Linked DNA regions of Callithrix jacchus. The protein of the gene in region 2 binds, or shares a complex with, the protein of the main gene of each other region. Links are inferred from orthologs where the notes say so. Each region holds a gene or a part of one and is shown on either strand. Other genes may lie near its edges.

Region 1 (3,647 bases), on a different chromosome or scaffold from region 2:
AGGGAGAGGCGTTCTGACTTTGAGTATTCTCAGCTTTTTTACGCTGGTTTCTTCCCGTCATTGTAAATTTATCCTCCTGTCTCTTTGAAATTACCAACTTTCAGATTAGGTCTCTTGAGTGGGTGTCCAGGTTGTTAGTTCCCAGGGCCAGAGCAGCGGCGTTAAAACTGATGGTGCTTTTCTGCCCAGGATTCTCTTGTCGGGCTTCCTTCTCGTGTTGGTAGTAGGCGACTCTGCCTTCCTGGGGCTCCAAACCTCGGTCAGAAGGGAAACCGGTCCTGTTCACTCTGCGCCGAGTGCTCTCGCGCCAAGGTGCCGTCACAGCGGCTGCGCCGGACTCTGGTGTCCTGCTGGGGACCAGTGCAGATCCTCCGAACCTGTTTACTTTGCTCCGAGAGCTGCCGCGCCAAGGTGCTGGCGGAACCACTGCACTGGCCACGAGAGTCGCGCTGGCCACCCTTGTGTTTCCTCCACTGGGGGATCTCCTGCTCCGTGAGCGACCAGAATTTGTCTGAAAGCGTGGCGTCCTCTAGTTCTCCGCGCCTTCCCTGAGAGCTGCAATCCCAGGATGTTAGCGATCGGCCATCTTGGATCATCCCTCTTTTTGTTTTTGAGATGGAGTTTCGCTCTTGTTACCCAGGCTGGAGTGCAATGGCGCAATCTCAGCTCACCGCAACCTCCGCTTCCTGGGTTCAGGCAATTCTCCTGCCTCAGCCTCCTGAGTAGCTGGGATTACAGGCATAAGCCACCATGCCCAGCTAATTTTTTTTTTTTTTTTTTTGAGACAGAGTTTCGCTCTTGTTACCCAGGCTGGAGTGCAATGGCGCGATCTCGGCTCACCGCAACCTCAGCCTCCTGAGTAGCTGGGATTATAGGCACGCACCACCATGCCCAGCTAATTTTTTGTATTTTTAGTAGAGACGGGTTTTCACCATGTTGACCAGGATGGTTTCGATCTCTTGACCTCGTGATCCACCTGCCTCGGCCTTCCAAAGTGCTGGGATTACAGGCTTGAGCCACCACGCCTGGCCAGTTCTTTGTTTTTCTTTTGAGATGAAGTCTTACTCTGTCGCCAGACTGGAGTTCAGTGGTACAGTTTCCTCTCACTGCAACCTCCACCTTCTGGTTTCAAGCAATTCTCCGGCCTTAGCCTCCTGAGTAGCTGGGATTACAGGCATGTGCCACCACACCTAGCTAATTTTGTATTTATAGTAGAGATGGGGTTTCTCCATGTTGGTCAGGCTGGTCTTGAACTCCTGACCTCAGGTGATCCACCCGCCTCGGCCTCCCAAAGTGCTGGGATTACAGGTGTGAGCTACAGCACCTGGCCTTTTTTTTTTTTTTTGAGACAGAGTTTCACTCTGTTGCCCAGCCTGAAGTACAGTGGTACCATCTCAGCTCACCGCAACTTTCACTTCCTAGGATTGAGTGATTTTCCTCTCTCAGCCTCCTGAGTACCTGGGATAACAGGTGTGCGCCACCACACCCGGCTAATTTTTATATTTTTAGTAGAGGCAGGGTTTCACCATGTTGGCCAGGCTGGTCTTGAACTCCTGAATTCAGAGTGATCTACCCACCTTGGCTTCCCAAAGTGCTGGATTAAAAGTGTGAGCCACTGTGCCTGGCCTATCAAGAATTTTCTGAACGGGCAATTAACAACTTTTTTCAGGCAACAAATTTGTACTTTAGAGTAGTTGAATATAATTCCTGATGGTTATGTTTAAAGAAAATCATTATTTAGAAATATAAGTCAACATATGTATGGATAAAATGAAAAATAAAACCACATGCCAGGTGACGTGATGAGGGCTGAGCAGGAGTTGAAGTGTCAGCCCTGGCTCCCCTGCTTGCTGTGTCACCATCGTGTCCACACTGCATGCGGTGCGTGCATCTGAGTGTAGCTGTCACTCTTCTTAACATCCTCCCACCAGAGCGACACCACAGGCAAGTTGGGCTTCGAGGAATTCAAGTACTTGTGGAACAACATCAAAAGGTGGCAGGTGTGTAGCAGCCCCTGAAATCCCTGGTACCCAGACCCCCAGCCACGGAGACACCATGCCCCACCATGCTCACTTGGACCCGATCTCTCTGTCCCCACAGGGCATATATAAACAGTTTGACACTGACCGGTCAGGAACCATCTGCAGCAGTGAACTCCCGGGGGCCTTTGAGGCAGCAGGTATGGCCGGCAGGGACGTGGTGGGGCTGGGAGTGGGATGGGTGAGAAAACCTCCACTCAGCTGGTCTGGGCCTGACTTTTGGGCATGGGAGTGGGTTGGGCCATGTGACCCCCACACCTGAAGGATGAAATCCATCTCAGGGTTCCACCTGAACGAGCATCTCTACAACATGATCATCAGACGCTACTCAGATGAAAGTGGGAACATGGATTTTGACAACTTCATCAGCTGCTTGGTCAGGCTGGATGCCATGTTCCGTGAGTGACGTCCCAGCTGTCTTCCTGGGTGGGGATTCCTGTGACTTCTGTGGGCCAACGTCTCCTCTAAACCTGACTGAGGTGGACGATGCTGGAGGCATGGCAGTGACTGAATCAGTCCTAGTTTCTGCCCTCATGGAGCGCACAGTCTAGTGGTGAAGAGAGAAGTCCCCAGACGCTGATAGTTCAGATTGTGATGGCTGGGAGAGGGAAAGCTCAGGGTAGAGTGATGGGTTGTGATGGGGGCAGCACAGGCAGAAGGTCTAGGGCTCTTGTTGGGGAAAGAGTGGGCAGAGCATGCTCAGATTGTGCTTGGGGAAGCCTAGAGGGCAGATGCAACCCAGGAGGCACCTGATGCAGCCCAAGGGGTCAGGGAGGGCTCCTGGAGAGGGAGCATTGAGTACTGAGGGATGAGGAGAGACTTGGTGAGAAGGTAGGGAATGCAGTTGCAGGCTGAGGGAACAGACTGTGCAAAGGCCTAGGAGGGAAAGAAGCTGGGGCTTCTGGGGCTTTTTGTTAGATTTTTTTCTTTTTTCTTTTCTTTTTTTTTGTTTTTTGAGACAGAGTCTCACTCTTGTTGCCCAAGCTGGAGTGCAATGGCACAATCTTGGCTCACTGCAGCCTCCGCCTCCTGGGTGCAAGTGATTCTCCTGCCTCAGCCTCCTGAGTAGCTGGATTACAGGCACCACCGTGCCCATAATTTTTTGTATTTTTAGTAGAGACAGGGGTTTCATCACGTTGGCCAGGCTGGTGTTGAATTCCTGACCTCAGGTGATCCACCTGCCTTGGCCTCCCAAAGTGCTGGGATTGTAGGCATGAGCTGCTGTGCCTGGCCAGGATTTATTTTAAGGAGTGCTTAAGCTGGGGTGCAGTGGGGAAGCAGACAGTTAGGAGGGGCAGTAGGGACTAGATCTTGAGGGCTTTTATGAGTTTTTTTTGTTTGTTTTTAAGAGACAAGGTCTCTGTCTTTGAGGCTGGAGTGCAGTGGCATGATCATGGCTCCCAAAGCCTCGATTTCCTAGGCTCCAGCCTCAGCTTCCCTAATACCTGGGACTACAGGTACACACACCATGCCTGGTTAATTTTTTAAATGTTTTGTGGATATAGGGTCTTGCTATGTTGCCCAGGCTGGTCTTGCACTCCTGGGCTCCAGCAGTCCTTCCACCTCAGCCTCCCAAAGCCTTGGTATTATAGGCTGCATGTGGCCTGA
Region 2 (3,647 bases):
TACTCCCTGCTGGGGCCTCTTTTCCTGTCTTGGACCCTCCTCCTAGGAGGCGTGCAACGTTTGTCCCCTTCCTGTCTCACACTACGTTTCCTTTCTCTCACTCAACTCCCCTTTATAAATGTGTGTGTTTATTTAGAGATGAGGGTCTCCCTCAGTTGCCCAGCATAGAGTGCAAATGGTGCGATCATGGCTCACTGCAGCCTTGAAATCCTGGGCTCGGGGGATACTCCCACCCCAGCCGCCCAAGTATTAATATTATAGCTGGGACTCCAGGCGCACACCAGCACACCCAGCTCAAACTCCTATTCAAAGCCTGTGTGCTCAGAAGCCTCTGCAACTGCGCTGGTTTCCTTCCCTCCACAGATGCTCACTGTGGAGCGTCTGCAGCTAATCAGGCAGGGCTGGGCTCTGAGGACACAGTTCAGCCCCCAGAGTTCTGGGTCTTTGAGGGAATGGAATTTCCCATCTCTGCCCAACCACAAACGCAAAAACATTTCTCCCTTTGCATTTCCCTCAAAACACTAGGTTGGTGCAAAACTCGCAATTACTTTCGCACCAACCTAATAGCACCCAACCCCCCTGACCCGACCCGCAGATGGAGGACTGCCTGAAACTTCACTCTGTCTATTCACAGGTTGTCTTAGACTTCAAGCCCCCAGAGATGGAGACAAGATTTTTAACATGCTCCTGGTTCTGAGACCCTCTGATAACAGCTCCTTGTGCTGTGTTCACAGGTGACTGCTGGCTGCTGGCCGCCATTGCCTCCCTCACTTTGAATGAAGAGATCCTGGCTCGAGTCGTCCCCCTAAACCAGAGCTTCCAGGAGAACTATGCAGGCATCTTCCACTTCCAGGTAACTTAATGGTTGACTCAGGTGGTTCCTCATCGGGTCCAGGGGGCTAGGAAGTCTCCTGGCTTGTCTGGGTTCGTCAGTTCCTGGTGTTCGCAGACTCCCAAGACCCACGCTGTTCTACAAAGGACGCTGGGTGAGAGCAGGAAGCTTTCTGGCTTACCCAATGTGGGACCCTGCCAGGATGGCCCTGGGGGGCTTCTTGGGACATGGAAAAGGGGAGGTAGAGCAAAGTATTCAGGAAATAATTCCCAAGTTAAAAAAAAAAACTGTATTATTTGAAGTTTGAAACAAAACATTGAAGTTCTCATCCTTTTATGCTGGTAAATGAGGAATAATTGAAAAAGCTGGCCGGGTGTGGTGGCTCATGCCTGTAATCTCAGCACTTTGGGAGGCTACATGCGTGGATCATTTGAGGTCAGGAGTTCGAGACCAGCCTGGCCAACATAATGAAACCCCATCTCAACTAAAAATACAAAAATTAGCTGGGCATAGTGGTGCACACCTATAGTCTCAGCTACTTGGGAGGCTGAGGCAGGAGAATCGCTTTAACCAAAGAGGTAGAGGTTATAGTGAGCCAAGACAGTGCCACTGCACTCCAGCCTGGGCAACAGAGCGAGACTCCATCTCAAAAAAAAAAAAGAAGAGAAAAGAAAAAGAAAAGCCAGTCAAGTTGCTGTGGCTCATCCTTGTAATGTCAGCACTTTGGGAGGCCGAGGCATATGGATTGCTTGAGCCCAGGAATTCGAGACAAGCCTGGGCAATATGGGGAAAACCTGTCTCTACTTAAAAAAAAAAAAATTAGCTGAGTGTGGTGGCACGAGTCTTTAATCCCAGCTACTCAGGAGGCTGAGGCAAGAGAATCACTTGAATCCGGGAGGTGGAGATTGCAGTGAGCTGAGATCACACCACTGCACTCCAGCTTGGGCAACAGAGCAAGACATGGTCTCAAAAAAAAAAAAGAAAGCCTAAGGTGCAGGGCAGAATGCTAAAGAGGCGGGCGTAGATTTGGAGGGATGGACGGGTGCCTCTGTATTTGCTTTTTCAGTGAAGACTTGGCCTGCATAGGCGTCCCAGGACGGGCTCAGGGAAGCTATTCCAGGGGATCAGGGCGAGGGGAGCCAGAGGCAGCTGAGGCTCAGAGTCCCAGCGCTGCCACCAGCTCCTCCTCCAGCCCACCTCTCCTCTTGTCCTGCAGTTTTGGCAATATGGCGAGTGGGTGGAGGTGGTGGTGGATGACAGGCTGCCCACCAAGGATGGGGAGCTGCTCTTCGTGCATTCAGCCGAGGGGAACGAGTTTTGGAGCGCCCTGCTGGAGAAGGCCTACGCCAAGTAAGTTGCCATGCCTCCCCTGGCCCCATGGCCTGCCCCCACTGTCCTGGATTCCAAAAAGACTACTTTGAGTGGAAGTCCTTTTCTATGGAAGGACTCCTTCGGCCAAAATTCGGCTCTAAATGCGAGGGGATAGTCCTGCCGTGCCTGGCCACACTGTACGCCAATAGATGACAGCTGTCACCATCTTTAGCCAAATGCACAGGAACAACTAATGGTACTGGTTGTGCTGGCCTTGAGAAGGGGCTCACTTCCTTGGCAGGACACATTCGTATCAACACAAAAAAAAAAGTTTTTGCCAATGGGCAAAACATTCATTGCAGAGGTAGGAAACTTGCCCAGAATAGATGTGACTGATTAGCAGCTGCTTCCCACCCCAGCTGCCCACAGTGGAGTTCGTCCAGTGCCCAGGGCTGCCCATTCTCAGTAGGAAGCCCCACAGCAGCCCCTCTCCAGAATGGCCCCATGTTGGCTGTGCTGCCCGACTCCTTCCATTAAAGTGACCCCACTCTAAGGCAGCAAGTGGATTTCTGTGTCTTACAGTCTCAATCCAAGAAGGAGGGGTCAGCTGTGAGAACCTGGGGGCTGAGGGCTGCTTCTGAGTCCCACTGCTCAATACTCGAGTCAGGGAGGTCACCGGGCTACAGCATCAGGAGTCAGGAGCACTAAGCCCTTGCCAACGCACTGCCTGTTTCTCAGGGAAACCGCTTCCATTATTGAATTGGTGTCCTTTTTTAAGCTATCAATGCCAAACGACCCATTAGTCCTCCCCTTTCTTGTCAGGATGTAGAAAGAATCAATACAGGAGTTTCATCCAGAAAATTACTAAGGTCCTTCCAACTCTAAGGTTCTCTGAGAACTTTTTTTTTTGATACAGAGTTTCGCTCTGTTGCCCAGGCTGGAGCGCAGTGGTATGATCTTGGCTCACTGCAGGCTCCGCCTCTGGAGTTTCAGCAATTCTCCTGCCTCAGCCTCCCGAGCAGCTGGGACTACAGGCACGCGCCACCACACCCAGCTAATTTTTTTGTATTTTTAGTAGAGACGGGGTTTCACCATGTTGGCCAGGCTGGTCTCAGACTCCTGACTTCAAATGATCCACCCACCTCAGCCTCCCGAAATACTGGGATTACAGGCGTGATCTACCACACCTGGCCTGATGATTTTTTTAAAACACAGAATACCAGGGAAATGTTAACTGCGGACACCATATCTTGCCTTCCTGGGCACCCCAAGCTGGGGACAAATCCAAGGAGAATGTGAGCAGGGGGTCCCTGGAGCATCAAACCTAAGGGATACTAGGGGGTGGGGGATGTACATCAGTAGTGTCAAGGGTAATGGTAGCATGTAACCCCTCTTGTAGGATCAATGGATGTTATGAAGCGCTCTCAGGGGGTGCCACCACTGAGGGCTTTGAAGACTTCACTGGAGGCATTGCTGAGTGGTATGAGTTGAAGAAGCCCCCTCC

What was found. Proteins that work in one complex are often made in the same cells at the same time.
Region 1: the proteins of CAPN2 (region 2) and CAPNS1 are in contact, whole or in part, in a crystal structure (PDB 1KFU), measured with the Homo sapiens proteins. The link is inferred for Callithrix jacchus from reciprocal best matches to the Homo sapiens genes CAPN2 and CAPNS1. Residues at the interface, in NP_001739.3 of Homo sapiens: Ala2, Gly3, Ile4, Ala5, Lys7, Leu8, Ala9, Arg12, Glu13, Glu16, Phe60, Arg366, Arg416, Arg417, Arg418, Arg420, Asp494, Ile516, Phe551, Glu575, Lys578, Val581, Asp582, Asp585, Gly588, Ser589, Gly590, Gln641, Leu642, Gln644; in NP_001003962.1 of Homo sapiens: Thr85, His86, Ser88, Asp111, Asp112, Met113, Glu114, Ser116, Thr118, Asp142, Arg145, Ser146, Ala149, Val150, Met151, Asp152, Ser153, Asp154, Thr155, Thr156, Gly157, Gly160, Phe161, Glu163, Asn206, His208, Leu209, Met212, Ile213, Arg215.

What each region holds. Positions count from the first base shown.
Region 1 is NC_133523.1:32,299,040-32,302,686, forward strand, and holds part of CAPNS1 (calpain small subunit 1), read left to right. Parts: intron 1-1,931; coding exon 1,932-2,000; intron 2,001-2,100; coding exon 2,101-2,179; intron 2,180-2,320; coding exon 2,321-2,437; intron 2,438-3,647. UniProt on the Homo sapiens protein: Regulatory subunit of the calcium-regulated non-lysosomal thiol-protease which catalyzes limited proteolysis of substrates involved in cytoskeletal remodeling and signal transduction. Essential for embryonic development.
Region 2 is NC_133520.1:5,054,698-5,058,344, reverse strand, and holds part of CAPN2 (calpain-2 catalytic subunit), read left to right. Parts: intron 1-734; coding exon 735-853; intron 854-2,048; coding exon 2,049-2,182; intron 2,183-3,542; coding exon 3,543-3,647. UniProt on the Homo sapiens protein: Calcium-regulated non-lysosomal thiol-protease which catalyzes limited proteolysis of substrates involved in cytoskeletal remodeling and signal transduction. Proteolytically cleaves MYOC at 'Arg-226'.